2 linked regions of the Rhinolophus ferrumequinum genome follow. The protein of the gene in region 1 purifies or fractionates together with the protein of each later gene. This does not show direct contact. Links are inferred from orthologs where the notes say so. Each region holds a gene or a part of one and is shown on either strand. Other genes may lie near its edges.

Region 1 (7,767 bases):
GCTCCACTAGTTCAGGGTAAGAAACACCCCGAGATCAATGCTCAAAGTCCATCAGAATTGAATTCCTGATTTCTGACCATTTCCATAAAATGTATTTATTCTCTATTCCTCAGGAGCCAGCCCACCATAACGACTGCTACCCATGCCGGGTATTAAGCATAAGTCAAGGGAAGGAACAATCTTTGCAATTTCTAATGAGTGTGCATTTTTTTCCAGGCTTTATCTTCACAAGGGTTGTAACTACATATCTGCTCTCAAGAAGATGGTGATGGATAATGGTAGGGCGAGACCATCTGAGGTCTGGGGTTCTGGGGTAGAGATCTACAATGAAAGATAAAGCGCTCTACACTTGAAACAATCCACCCTCCCATCTACCTCACCCCCAAACACACATGATCTTCTGAACTGCTCATTGAGTACCAAACAGGCCAACAGTGACATTTCTGCCAGGTCATCTGCAAAACTGTTTGAAAGTAAGTGAAAACTAAAGCAGCAGCTAACAATACGCTTATACCTTGAATGCTTCTTTTAAAAAAGGCCTTACATCCTTCACACGACCAGACTCCATAGTGATATCCCGACGCGTAGTCGCTGCAGACTGCACAGAAGTGGGCATCCCTCTTTGAACGTGGACTAGTAACAGGGCTGGCACAACTGTTCCCACTAATCTTCCTTTTCAGTGTCTCTCTGGAGGCAAAGAAAACATTCATTGGAAAAGAGCATTAAGGGGAAAGGAGGAACTTTCTAGGGAGAAAGAAAAGCAGCAAGAACATTGCCCCATTTATCTCTTTGCCCTCCAGGGTTTATGACAAATACACTCCAGGAAATCTGCTAAAGCAAAACCTCTGTTACTGAGATCTGTGAAGGGTCCCATTGCTGGAATGACTGAGGTCTGCAGGTGATTAGGTGAGTTTATGCCCTTCCATGCAGGACTGATGAGCACTAGTGACTACGGAAGACCACTTGTAGCCATCGTGGTGCACAGCTTTGCATGGGATAAGTGACCAGATTGAGTCCTGCCCACAGTTCTGAACCACGAGTAGGTGTGTGGAGGCCTTCCGAAGTTACCGAAGTTCACCGACATGCACGGAGGGGCCTAAACTCACCTAACCACGCCCACGCATCAGGCAGTCAATCCCCACAGGGCCCTCAACAGCCCTTCAGAGTTCCCAGGTAACCTGGGATTCAGAATTCATTCTGCAATTTAAGATAAAGGTCTAGGATGAAAAGAACTTTAAGAGGAGTAGCAAATGGACTTTAAGTTACATTGAGGTGAATGCTATATTCTGGTTTAGAGAGGGGAGGAAGGGAAAGGAAGGGAAGGGAGGGGAAGGGAGCAGAAAAAAGGGAAGAGAGAACAGAAGGAGACAGAGTGAACACACGCGTGTCCTGAGAGAAGGCTTTGAAGAAAGCAGGTGCTCATTGCCGAGTGGAGGGGCAAGGACTTCCGTAGATGAAGGGAGAGCCCACGAAAGGAGCACTGGGAGGCCCCCAAAACACACCCGTCTGGTTCCTGATTTCCCTGGGGTTCATTTCTTTTGGAAAGGAAATAGTAGAGGTGTGACTGATCTATAAATGAAGGGAATTATACTATGGTTTAAATTACCCAAATATTAGCAGAACTCTGATTAGAGCTCATGCTCAGAAACCAAACTTTTCTTCCATGAAAGACAATGAAAACTTTTAAAAAAGCTATGTACAATTTCTATATAGTCTTTAATTTTGCCAACAAAGTTCTTTAAAAGGAAGAAAAAATTAAAACCCTGTATAATATGGCTTTCTCAAAGCTTTATGACAGCATTTGAAAGTAATGAACTTCAATATCCAACATGCTGTAACTTAGACTTTGGTTGTTTTAGAAGTTTACCTCCCCCTCATGCGTCTCCCTATACCACCCCTTCCCTCCATAGCTATAATTATCATTAAAAATATTACGAATTAAATGGCAATAACCACCGTGTTACCTTGCATTTAAAGAGTATAAACAAATATTCTTTTTAACTTCTAAAAATTTCAACTAAAGTCTACATTTAAACAGTTTCCCATCAATCTCTACAAAATATTATTTTAGTCCATTGTTAAAAAGTTAGTATACCAATTGTCTGTCTTTTCAGGCTTCACGTGTCAAGTATTTCATTTAAGTTGTAATACTGCCACAGGTACTTATATCCTGGATGCAATCTGTCATGAACACTAACTTGTGATTTCACTACCAGATAAGAAGGATTCAAACTGAAAGCAAAATAAAAATGTATTTTTCAAAGACAAATCACTTCATCAAGAGAAATGTGATTTAAGTTCAATCTTTATTGTTTAAAGACAGTAGTCATGATAGTGAATTCTCCCCCACCACACAAATCTACAAGCTCAACTTTTTAATGACAGCTAAAATATCAGGATAGATATTCTAGAATTCAGAATATCACGCTTTAGATGCTCTGAGTAATCTATATGACTAATAAAAACCTTGTATATACACATCTTTCTTCTCACTAAATCATAAAGTGATTTGAATAATGCTCATGAAATACAATTCAGAATGAAGACTGGATTTACCTGTTTACAGGTAAGGTGTGTTCTAATGATCTTGCTTCACACCAAGGACTCTTTTGAGGTTCTGCATACAGAAGTGATGACTGGCAATGGATTGCTAACGGAGAGAGGTGTCCAGGAGTTGGCCACAACACATTTGGGCTTGTGGTCTGTCGACTAGGTCCACCGTCCGAGTTATCAACACTGCTGGGAAGACTGTAATTCATCACTGCAGGGCTATAGAATGCCATGGCTGAATATTCATGGTGGCTCTCCACATACGAGGAAGGTATATATAGGGGGCCGTGCTCCAGGGGAAGGACAGATTGACCGCAGTTGTAGGAGGCAGGAGAATTAAGGCTAGATGGTGAGTTTTTGATATCCATGTCTTGAATGGGTAATATCTGAGGAAACTCCTTGCGAGAAGAGCCACAAAGCGACATTGTAATGTTCTCAAAGTCTCATGAGCAGGTATAATGGCTGGAAAGAACAACAAAGGACAGTTCTAAGTTAGTTGGAGCTACAGGCATACCTGTTCAAAGTGTTCACACATTTTTATTAAACACATACACGCATTTGTATGAACTTAGAAATACATCCTGAAAGATATACATGAAAATATTAACCTCAGAGGGATGGGAATATGTGGCACGGAACTCTCATTTTCTACTTCATTCACTTCTTTATTGCTTTTGTTGTTGTTAACCACAAGAATATTTTTTACCATGAGAATTTGTTATAAAATGCTTTTTAAAATTAAAAACACAGGGTTAAATTAAAATGTCAATAAGTTGTCTTCTTTTAATATGGAACAAGTTTATTTTAAAGTTCTTATGAACAAATAAACAAGAACAACCAGGAAAACTCTGAAAGAGCAGATCAATGAGCAGGACCAGCATTAATAGATACTCAAATACACTGTGAACTGCCAATAATAAAAAACAAGGAATAGACAGGTCAATGTAACTGTGTCAGTTATCAATTCATTGTCTCTCAGCTTCCAATGCACCCTTCAATATATGCTCTATAATAAATGGAATTCCTGTAGTATTTAAAGTGAGCCAATGCTAAACTTTTTCAGTAGAGGGCGCTGCAGGAGTACTGTAGCAAGACGAGGGTGGCAGTGTGGGTCTGAGAACATGCAATGGAGTCTGGCCCAGCCACGTGTCCACAGGGAGGTCCCACTGCAAACTTTCGGCCTCTGTGTGGTGATAAACTTTCCACAATCACCTGTCCAGACTGTGGCCTGAGGAGTCACATGCTGAGAAGTCATTCCCCCTGCAAGCCTCCTCACTCCACATGACCTGCAATTCTGAAGGTCTTCTGCCCCCATGGGCACCTGGCCTCCTGGGGTATGCCCACACCGCCAGTCACTGAGCACCCGCTCCCGGCCTGCAACTCCTGACCAGCTCCAGCCTGGCTAAATCAGCGAACATCTCTGCCAGTTAATGGTCCAACCACCTTCCCCCCTGAGGTCTGATCCCTTCTAAGTTTGTCCTTCCTTGGGTTTGCTCTCTCAGCTCTAGGGTACCATATAAAGTTTCCTTATATCTTATACTTAGTCCCTTACCATAGGTAATTAATTATAAGTAATTCTTTATATTAAACCTCCCCTGTTCAACCTATTATGTGCTTTCTATCTTCTGATTGGGCCCAGACTGCTACATAACAGAATGGAAAATCCCAAAACAGCAAAACCAAAATCTCAAATGTTTTCAGAAATTTGGTATATGATAAAGGTGGCATCTCAAATCACTGGGAAAACAGTGGGCAACCGAATTGCCAGTGGAAAAAGAATGCATGTCAGAATAAACTCCAAATGGTTCAGAGATCCAAATGTTAAAAGAGAAATGGAAGGAAGGGGGAAAAGGGGGAAAGGACAGGTAGGGGCTGCACGAGTGCTGGAAGCAAACAAAGTAAATCCCTTTATAAAATGGGTGTGGGGAAAACCTTAACTATGGCTAAAAATCCAGATGCAATAAAAAAGGATGTACATAAAAGCACATCAATTCAGTACATAAAAGTAAAACTTGGCATGTCATAAAAACACACAATAGGCAAAGTCAAAAGACTAATGAAACTTGGAAATAAAAATATTCTCAACTTAGATTAGAAAAAAGGGGATAATGTCCCCAGTATATAAAGAGAACCCTTAAATTAAGATTTTAAAAAAAAGACAAAAAAATACACTAGAAAAACAGGCAAAAGACACAAATAGAACATACACACAAAGAGAAAGCAAAACACATAAAAGGACGCTCAATCCCATTCATAAAAGAGATACAAATTAAAATTTTACCAAGATACCATTTCTCATTTATCATGTTTGGAAAAAATTCAAGTATTTGACAACAGATTCCCTTGAAAAGGCTGTGGAAAACAGGGACTCTTTCCTATGTTGCTGGTGGGAATGCAAAATGGCACAACCCCCCTGGATATTTATATATATAGTAATATAAATAGCAATATATAGCAAAATTACATATACTTTTACCCTCTGGGCTATGAGTCCATAGTGTTAATCAAAAAAAGAAGAATAGAATCATTTATTACCATCGATAGTGATTGATACACCAGTTCCTCATTCTGAAAATTAGTAATTAAGGGGAAAAATTAAGCCTGTACCCTGCCTTTTAAAGAGGCTCTGTAGAGGGAAACCCCTTACAAAAGAATGCCACCTAATAAAAAGAGTTCAGAAAAAAAATATTTGGATGGATAACTAGATAGATAGATAGATAGATAGATAGATAGATAGATAGATAGATAGATAGATAGAGATAAGTCAAAATGTTAACAATTATTGAATCTGGATGGTGGACATATGGACATTCATTATGCTAATCTTTCAATGTTTCCATAAGTTTGAAATTTTTCATAGGAAGCTTTGGAGAAAAAACAAAAAAATACAAGATTAAAAATGGAAACCTTAAAAAAAAGAATAACTGGAATAATATAATGTGGAAAAGGGAACAATAGATGACTAATAAATAATGAGACTCCTTGAGAGAGATCATTAAGTAAAGAAACTTGCCTTGAGAAGTTCTCCATCTTTAATATCTTCAACTCCAGCTATCACCTACTTCCATATGTAGGCAACTTAGCTATCTAAGGCTCTGAATTACCTTCCTCGTGACATTTTCATTTGAATGCTTTTCCTCCATTTGTCCTCAAAACACAATATATCTATGGTGGTTTGAAAATAGCCTGCAAATTCTTCAACACTTCTCCCTTCAAAAGGTGTCGCCTAACCTCCCCCTTGAGCATGGACTAGATTAATGACTCATTTCTAATGAATACATTATGGCAAAAGGAATGGTATGTGGCTTTCAAGACTAGGTCATAAAAGGCATTGCAGCCTCTTCCTGGCTTACTCTGTTGGATCTCTCACTCTAAGGAAAAGTAACTGCCATATTGTGAGGACACTTAAGCAACCCTATGGAGACGTTCTGCTAACAGCCAGCAAGGAACTACCGCCTCCAGCCAACAGCTATGGGAGTGAGATACGTTGGAAGCAGATTCTCCAGCCCCAATCAAGCCTTCAGATGACTATAACTCTGGCCAATTATCTTGATTGCAACCTTATGAAAAAACCTAAGCTGGAACGACCTAGCTAAGCTGCTCCTGGATTCCTGATTCCAAAAACTGTGAGATGTTCGTTGTTTAAGTTGCTATAAAAATTCTATGATACTTTGTTACAGAGCACTAGTTAATTAATACAATATCCAAAGTAATATTCATCATTTTCCTCCCCTAAACCACTCATTTCCTATTTGTGTTCATGACAAAGCCCGTTACAGTTACCTTTGACTTCTCCTCTTCATCCAATTACCTTGAATCACCAACGCATTTTTTTACCCACTTCAGAGTATCTTTTCCCCACTCTGTCTTCTGCCACCATCTGAAAGTTCTCATTACTTCTTATCTGCGCATCTGTAACAGGCTCCTTATTACTCCTTGTCCCTAGTTAGCTCCTTCTCCAGGTCCACGACCGGCCAGGTTAACATTCTTAAAACCCAGCTCTGATCAGCCCTCTGCTTCCCACCAACCTCTCTAGTAAGTCACACTGTTCTAACATTCAAGGCATTCCACTATGTTGCCCCAACCCATCATTCCACTCTGATCTCTTGTTATTTTCCTACAGGAAACCAGCGATGTCCTTAAAGAATATGCAAAATGCACTGTTGAAGTAGTTGGCATTTTATGCCTTAGTACTTCTTTCACTCTTAGCACCCCTATAGTTATTTACAAACCAATTTAATCCTTTATATTAGATTACAACTACATTGAATCCTTCTTGGAAATGGTAGAGTTGGGATGGGAGAGAAAGAAGTAAGTACAAGTTAGATTTTAAACTCCTTGGAGGCACACACTATATTCACCTTCCACTACAACTCAATAAATATTTGTTATAAGCAAAGAATATGAGGAAATGAGTTTAAAATATAAGATTTCACCAAGTCAAGGCTATTAATCAAAGATGGGAGCACTTTCAGTAGGCGTGCTACTGTGCTGAGACAGGAGAGCTAAAGGAGTCCCAGGACATGGACCCTGCCTCAAGGAGCCATCGTGCCAGGTAAAGGAGGCAGAACGGCCCAGGTAAAGAAGAAGGACCTAATACAAAAGTGCTACCTACCACTTCTAATCAACATTGATTGACCACAAGGGATAGGAGAGAGATTGGTAGCTGGAGAAGAATATAGGATCGAGGAATTTTTATATATATATATTTTTTACATCTATGGGCATTTACTAATCATGAGTATATAATTTCGTGTTTCAATTAGATGCCTAATCAACATAACTCTCCCTGATTCCTAAGAGAAAATATGCAGGAAAAAGCATATAATGCTAGCTACTGTCAAAATTAGCAGTTTCCAAATTTTTTAATTGTGGTAAAATACACATAACAAAATTTACCATCTTAACCATCTAAGTGTACAGTAGGGTAGTATTAAGTACATTCACACTGTTATGCAACCAATCTCCAGAACTCTTTTCATCTTGTAAAACTAAAACTCTACATCTGTTAAACAACAGCTCCCCCATTTTTCTCTCTCCCCAGCCCCTGGCAACCACCATTTAACTTTTTGTCTCTATGGATTTGACTACTTGGTACCTCATATAAATGGAATCATACAGTATGTGTTGCCCTGTCACCTGTTTATTTCACTTAGCATAATATCCTCACGGTTCATCCATGTTTTGTTGCATGTGTCAGAATTTCCTTTCTTTTTA
Region 2 (7,983 bases), on another chromosome or scaffold:
TCACAGGGCTTTTATTCATTGTTTTGCATCTGTATCAACTGCGGGTCACCGATTACTTCGAACCTTGTTCTTCTATACATGCCTCCCTCACTTTTAGCGACAACCTATACCTCTCAATCTACTTTAAAAGACCAGAGTTCTCTGGCTCTTCTCTACAATCACCACAAAAATGTTTCCAGTCATTTCTCCTGATCTCAAACTTTCTACTTTCAAACTATCATCTTCACGTTCTTTGCTCATTCAGGGAAGCAGGACCTTTTACTTCACCCATTTCTGAATTTTGCCCCATTAATTATCATAAAAAATTTTACCTCCTTTTTCTGGTCTCTTCAGAATCAACAAACATGACATGTGTCTACTATGTGCCAGGAACCATGGTGGGGCTTTCACATAAGCCATCCCACCTCATACTTTAAATCCTCTGGTAAATTGGACACTTAAATCAACTGTACATTTTACCATAAAAATGTCTTAACTGACTGATTACTGAGAAGGTGGATCAGGGGACTGAGCAGTCCCAGTATACTTCTACCTGCACCCAAAGCACAAATCCCAGTTTCAGAAGCACAGCGAGGAGCTCTTGCCGTATTCCTCACAACATTTAAGTGACTACTTTGAATGAGACCTTGTCCTAGGCACTGTGAAGTACAAAGGTGATTAAGGTACTCATTCTGTACCCTCCGTTCTAAACATCTCCCCTCCATCTTCCAAAAGCTGGACTTTGAGGGCGCAGCTTAAAAGCTACTGCCACCAATATGATCTTTCTGATTACTCTAGCCAGACGTATACGGGATGCTGTTAAAATGAAGATTTAATTTGAACCTTTAACATTTGTGCATAGTTCTCTTTTTGCTTTCTAAAGTAGATGCTTCCCAAGGGCAGGATCGTTGCTTATTCATTTTATCTCCACAGCACCGTATGTAAACAGGGGTACTCTGGGTATTATTGTCATCTGGTTCCAGACCATTGCAATAAAGCAAGTCACATGAATTTTTTTGGTTTCCAAATGCATGTAAAAGTTATGCTTATACTATACTGTAGTCTAGTAAGTGTGCAATAGCATTATATCTAAAAAACAACGTACACACCTTAGTTACAAAATACTTTATTGCTAAAAAATGCCAACCATCACCTGAGCCTTTAGCAAGTTGTAATCTTTTTGCTGGTAGAGGGTCTTATCTTTAATATGTACAAACAAACAAACAAACAAAAAATATCTGCAAAGTGCAATAAAACAAAGCATAATGAAACAAGGTATGCTTGTATTTGGGTTATGGGGGTTTACGGACAGACAGTATAATCCAGATCTAGAGAATCATGCTGGATTCAAATTTCAGTTCCACCCTCATTTCAAATGTGCAACAGTAGACAGATAGGTTTACTTCACGTCTCTCAGGTTTGACATAAGTAAAAGCGTCATAACACTATTAAGTACCTCTTAGTATTATGAGAAATAAATTCAGTGTTAAGCAGTTAGAACAGTGCCTGATCTATTGTAACCACTGCACAAATATTAAGTCACTCTCCCAGTTGTGAGAATTAGAGCACACAGTAAATACCCTATGATAAATAAGTGAATAAAGAAATTAGCATTTTGAATCTTATACAAAAAATTTTAAATGTGTTAACGAATGAAGGAAATATTTTATTATAAAAATACGTTCTTAAATGTAAAAATTGCAAAAGAAAACTAAATTAGGCAGATCCAAAGGCCTTTTCCAAAAATGTCCATTACTGAAAGCACAGCAGACCCCAGACCAAAGCAGGTAGTAATATGAGGTGGTATAAGTAAGACACTTGAAGTCTTGCTCAGGAGCCCTTAACCTGGGGACTCAAGAAAGTTCATGGATGGCGGTGGGGGGTGTCTTTGTAATTTACGTAATGCTGTGTTTCTCTATGCATTTTTCTGAGAGTATCCAAAACTTTCACCAGTTTCCCCAAGGAATCACTCTCTGTTGTAGTTCTAACTCTGCCTCAATTAGCCTGTACAAACTTAGTTTTAAGTTTTTTTTAACTGCAAGATGAACAACTTGGACTTAATTCCTAAGACCTTTAAGCTCCAAAAATCTTTGAACCTGTGCTTCTTCACAAGTGGAAAAAAAAAGGGCAGGAAAATGTTTAAATATAAAACATTGACTTTCTTCCATTTTTTTCAGAAAAGGTATTTTCACACTACTGTATTTTGTTTCCTTATTATTGTAACACTCTTGTGCAAAAGTATTTCAGCGCATTTTGGGGATGAGGGTGATAATTACAAAAGTGCCCTTACGACTGACATTTCCACCAGCCACTATATTTGCAAATGCAAAAAAGCAGGCCAGTTCTATAAACAACCCTCTAACCCTTCTTTCCCTCCAGTAACCTAAGCCAGAATCCCAAAGCAGTTGAAATTCCACTTTTGACTCCATATACACTTTACTTTCTTGCTTGCTTCTCTGCTTAAGTCCATAACTTGTGGTCAGCACACACTATACCAGTAATAAAATAAGTTCAACATGAATGCAAGACCAGCTGTCACCGTGTCAAGGGCAGAATGAGGTAGTTTTGCCAAAGCCTTCCACGAAGTTCGTTTTCGGCCTCTTGTATGTATTTCCCTACACCACGGACCCCGCTGCGCACCAGGAGCTCTGTCAAACGCCCTGAGCACCGGAGAAGTTAGTGACCTCTCAATTCCAGGCACGGCCTCCCCAAACCATCCGGGTCTCCGGGGTCCCACCGCCTCCTCCATCACAGATCTCAAACTGGCCCAGGACCCCGCAAGGCCTGAGGCGGGGGCCGCAGCGGGAGCCCAGACGGCTTCTTACCGCGGCCCCAAGTCCAGGAGCCCCAGGAACTGGCCTCAGCCGAAGGGGCCTTGCTCCCTCCTGCAGGGTCTGGACCTACCATGTCTCCGTCGGTCCCAGGCCGTCCGCCCTCACTTGAAACCGGCAACACAACCCCTGAAAAGACCCACCGACCCGCTGACCCGCCGACTGACTGACGTGGAACTTCCGTAAGACAGTTCTCGCGATGTAGGGGACCAGCGCGAGCGCCTGCGCAAACCAGGCGTAGGCCTTAAGTGTCCCAAGCCCCTCCCCAGTTACCTAGGCAACGGAGCCATCCTGTTGCCGCGTGAGCAGGGAGGTGTGGCCTCGGCCATCAAGGGCAGTGGCCGGGTGCTGCTGAGCCCGGACGGGAACTTGAAAGCCGAGAGATACGTAAAAAAAAAAAAAAATGGGAAAGACGAAATGTTTAATCCCTGCTGGACGCTAATGGCAGGGGAAGCTCCCCTTATAGTGAAGTTGTATCCCAGAGGCTGAGAAGCGCTGTCGGGCTCTGACTGAGGGGAGGGATGGGGAGAGAGATGAAGGCGAGGCAAGGCTCTAAGCCCACAGTATTCTGATGGGCTAGAGATAGAGGCCCAGAGACTTCTCTGCGGGCCCTGGACTTGGCTGGCGCTGATTGAGGCTGGAAAGATTTGAGCGGGACTCCGGGCTGAGCTTCAGGCCTCTGAGGTCAGAGGGAGGTGAAGAGCCTTCAGTTCTGGAGCTCCCCGGAGATGGGACTACCAGCTGCACACGATCCCTTTTTATTGGGCATCGACTGTGTTATTCATTCACCAATGTGTGTCTATCCTCAGCTGTGTGCCACATGAAATCTAAAGGATCCCTATTTTACTGATGAGGAAACTAAGGCTCAAAGAAGTTCCCTGGCCAAGGCTGCATCTTAAGCAGTAGAGTCAGTATTTGATCCCAGACCCCTATGTCCTCAAAGCCCTGTGCTCTTTCTACTGCATCCAAGTATCTCTTCATTAAGGTAGTTGGACTCTAGAATAAAGATCTGCACCACTGCCAACCACCCTTCACCTTCCATTTCTGCTTTTCTTCTTTTTTTAAATACCAGGGGCCAAATAAAACGTGTCCTCTGACTACATATAAATGAGTACCTCTGGCCTGAGGGAAGCCTTGGAGGTTTTCTTAGACCTCTAGATTTTCAGAAATGCAAAAATAAATGAATAAAAATAAAAATATCTGTATTGAAAGTGACAGTCAGAGGAAGACATGGACTCTGAATCAGTAATTTGGCTTTTAGGATCTTTGCTGCTAATATGATCTCTTCGTGGGCTTCAGTTTTCCTCATTAAAAAAAAAAAATTAGGTTGAATAATTTCTAAAGACCCTTCCCTTTAGTACCATTTTGTGTTTCCGTCATATTCAATAGTAGAAAGAAGAGTGGGTCTGGAACTGGATTTTAGTGCCTGCAGTGTGATGTTATGATATGTAAATTGAGACTAATTGAATACTTTGCTTATGCTTTTGAGGATCACAAGAGTCGAAAATTTTACAAATATGAACTATACCTAATTTGCTTGAACTGGAGCTTCCAGTATTTCTGATTCATGGATACTCTTACACTTGAATAAGTATCTTCAGACTTTGCACAGTGCCAAATAATACAAAATAAAGTGATAGATCATCTGTCTTCTCAAGGAACTAGTTGAGAATACTCAAATTCTTGTATTCCACTAGGTACCCAAGGATTTACCTAGCTGGTATTGATGAGGGGCTGAGCAATCAAGTGTCACACTCACCTTGACTATATCTTTTGTCATTTTTTCCACTACAGTTAAGTAACATTCAGTTCTGCAGTTCTGTACTGAGTAACATTCTGTACTCTAAATTCATTCTTTAAATCATTACATACTGAATTTGGCTATATTCATTGAGAAGGGTGGTGAGGGAGAAGGATGGAGAGGAAGGATGTGGCTAAAACTGAAAAGATTTTTAAATAGGGAGGAACTGGGCTTTGATTCAGTACGCAATTGGGAAACACTGGGCCAGAAAAGAAGCTGGTTCATATCCGATCCCATAAGATATGCCTTTTATAGATGTGTATGAAGAAATGGATTGGGACAGTGAGATACTTCACAGGTTTTGGGGAAGTGGGTGTGGAAATAACAGTAATAATGAATAACTTTATTGAGTGCCCACTATGTACCCAGCATTGGCACGCAGAAGCACTTTGTACGCTGCAGTTTAGATTGTAGTACCAAAATATAGGCATTTTCTCCAACTTATAGATGAGAAACTGAGAACCAAATGGATTAACTAATATGCTCCATGCCACACTGCTCAAGAAGGAGTGATGGACCTCAGATCTGAACCCAAGTCTATCTTGAAAACTAATGCTCTTTTTACCGGACTGTGAGTTCTTCCTCTTTCACTTAGAAGCTAGAATCAACAGGATACACAGATGATTGGAGTTTTTGTGAGTTAAAGGATTGGGAGGCATCCTAATGCTAATGCCTTGAATCGAATGAACCCAGAGGGAATGTCTTTAATTAGAAGAAGAAGTGGAGCCAGTAAATGACACAGAGGGGGAACAATTAGAGTACGACATCTAGGAAAACTGTATGCCGCAGAAAGAAAAGGAAGGACAGAGTCGGGGGACTAGAAGTCTAGATGACTTTGGAGAAGTTAAGGAGGCTCGGTATTTGAAAATAAAAAGAAACCGTTGCCAATGAATTAAATGATTACGAAGACAGTAGTCTTCAAAACATTTTCAGTTGAGTAATGCCAGGGGCAGCAGGTTTGCAAGGGATTAAGAAATGATTGAATGATAAAGTGGAGGTGGTCGCTATTTTACCAGAAGATTAGTTATGAAAAGGCAAATGTTGATGTCTCACTGAAAGTGGATCGATTGTTCCCATGTTTAGGGTGCAGTTAACATTACCTACTTCATGACAGTAACCCTCCAAATGGACGTACATGACTAAATGGACCTTTACAGTGTGAGTAGGAACTAACCGGACGAACATCAAGAGGGTATACACAGGGTAGTCCGAGAGAAGGGAAGTGAGAGTTTGGTTTTTCCAGAGAACTGAAAGTAGTTTAGCATGCCTGGGCCAGAGAACAGGTGGGGGAGGTTGAGAAACAGAACTGGAAAGATAGATGAAGCTCAGCTCCTGAATGTCTATGATTGCCGGTTTAAGGTGTCTGGACTTTATCCTGAAGGGAACCACTAAAGAATGTTAACTAGGGTAATCTTTATGCTCCATTACTGATTCATCATTGCATGTCAGTTATATTCCCCATTAAAGGAAATATTACGGTTATCAGCTAGATTTCTGCTTGCAGTGAATGAAAGTGAGGATTTTGACCACATAATCACATACCAACCATCAACAGACTGAATAGAGTTGGAGAACCATTGAGCTGTCTTCCAAGAATAATGAAGCTTGCGGTTACCCGACACGTAGAGGCAAAAGCTTTGACTGATTGCAAAAGCATTGAGCGACTACAATGTGCTATGCACTTCATATGATTACCACCTGAGAATTTAAAATTGGTTCACACAAATTTACTCCATGTGAGTTTGATGTGGATTCGGGATGGAAGGTATGTTTGCTTTTGTTTACCAGAAAGCATAAAAATCCAGATTTTTAGTCCTGTTTTTGGCGTGGGTGTAATTTTACCTTTTGGAAAATTGCATGAACTTCGTGTTGTTTTAAACATTTTTAGAGGAGTCAGAGTTTAAAGTGAGCTTTGAATGAAATGAAGGAGGTGGTATCACAGATAGGAATTATGAAACATGTGATTTAGGGACCTCAATAGTGTTCCATGCACCCAGACATTCTACCTGGCTCTTCACACGTGGGGTGCTAAGATCACCCATGGCAAATCATAACAAGCAGTCTCTGGAGATTTCTCTGCCCCGGGGTTGTCTTGTGCAGTGAACTGTCTGGGTCTCAGTTTCATTACCCTACAAAATAATGTTGGACAAAATAAACTCTAAAGTCCCTTCCTATTCCAAGCTTCTTTAGACTTTGGAGTCTGTGATTCTATGTTCTTGGTAATTATGTTTCCTATGAATACAGGATGTATTCATAGACATTTTTTTTTACTCCATTCATGTGAATACACAGTTCTTCCTGCATATTTCACAGCGTGCACTGCTGTTTTACTCTGGAAGCAACCTTACATCAGCCAATTTTTGTTGAGGCTTCGTTGTGCTTGGAAACATACTGTACAAACCTGAGGCCCTGGCCCTCAGGGCAAAGAACCTGGTGGGTGTGAGGGGACCAGGAGTAGAGGACCAAGTGTGCACAGTATATGAGGTCCCCGGTGAAAATTCTCTGGCAGCCAACGCTTAACTTTCTTTCCAGAGAAAAGATTTTGCAAAGTTTTACATACAACTTTACGTAAGCAAGTTGATAGGTTTAGAGCAATTATGTTTCCTCAAGAATTATGTCCTTGTAAATGACAGTGCTGCCTATAAATAAATGAATAATAATGACAAATAGCCTGGATATCTGGCATATAGCAGTTACTTTTAAATTAATTGAAAAAAATTTAATGTAAAAGTGAAATATCTGGAGTGACAAGGCACTGCACAGTATAATTTCCACCAAATTGCCCTATTTTACTTTCTTCTAAAGAATTTGTCAGCTCAAGTTGATCTAAGGGCATTACTGAATTTGAATTCAAATGTGGTTCAAGCCCCAAGGTTTAAAAATGAAGTCCTTGGGCTCTGAACTTCTGATATGTTTTTGTAACTGAAAATGATAATCGAAATCATATTGAGCTACATTCCTACAAGGTTTTTCATTTGGTGTCAAAGCAACTTCACATTGATAGTGCTGGATTCATTCACTAGAATCCAATAAAGGTATTGTCTCTAAGAAGAATAAATTGTTTCTTTTGCAAAATATGGCCATACCTTGGTGCATCCGACATTGACAGTGAATACAGATGTAACTCTATCTTGAAGATGTTTCTGTATAAAGTAATTGTTAATTGGATCAGACACACACACACACGTACCTACACATGTAGGGAAAGTCAATATCCGAAGGAAGTGGAAGGAGGTTACAGGTGCTTTTGTTTATTTGTATTGTCTAACTTTTCTATTATAAACTTATACTGTGTAATCCAGAAAACAAATTATTTTACCCAAATATAAAACGTAGCAAAGGAGCTTGTCCTTTGAAGGAAGGCTATTTTGA

The links.
Region 2: the proteins of ESR2 (region 1) and COPB2 purify together in Homo sapiens (affinity purification with mass spectrometry; 3 studies listed by BioGRID and IntAct, with this or other methods). This does not show direct contact. The link is inferred for Rhinolophus ferrumequinum from reciprocal best matches to the Homo sapiens genes ESR2 and COPB2.

The regions. Positions count from the first base shown.
Region 1 is NC_046289.1:31,538,586-31,546,352, reverse strand, and holds the start of ESR2 (estrogen receptor beta), read right to left. Parts: upstream 3,019-7,767; 5' UTR 2,976-3,018; coding exon 2,557-2,975; intron 688-2,556; coding exon 515-687; intron 1-514.
Region 2 is NC_046300.1:38,297,383-38,305,365, forward strand, and holds the start of COPB2 (coatomer subunit beta'), read right to left. Parts: upstream 3,021-7,983; 5' UTR 2,887-3,020; coding exon 2,884-2,886; intron 1-2,883. UniProt on the Homo sapiens protein: The coatomer is a cytosolic protein complex that binds to dilysine motifs and reversibly associates with Golgi non-clathrin-coated vesicles, which further mediate biosynthetic protein transport from the ER, via the Golgi up to the trans Golgi network.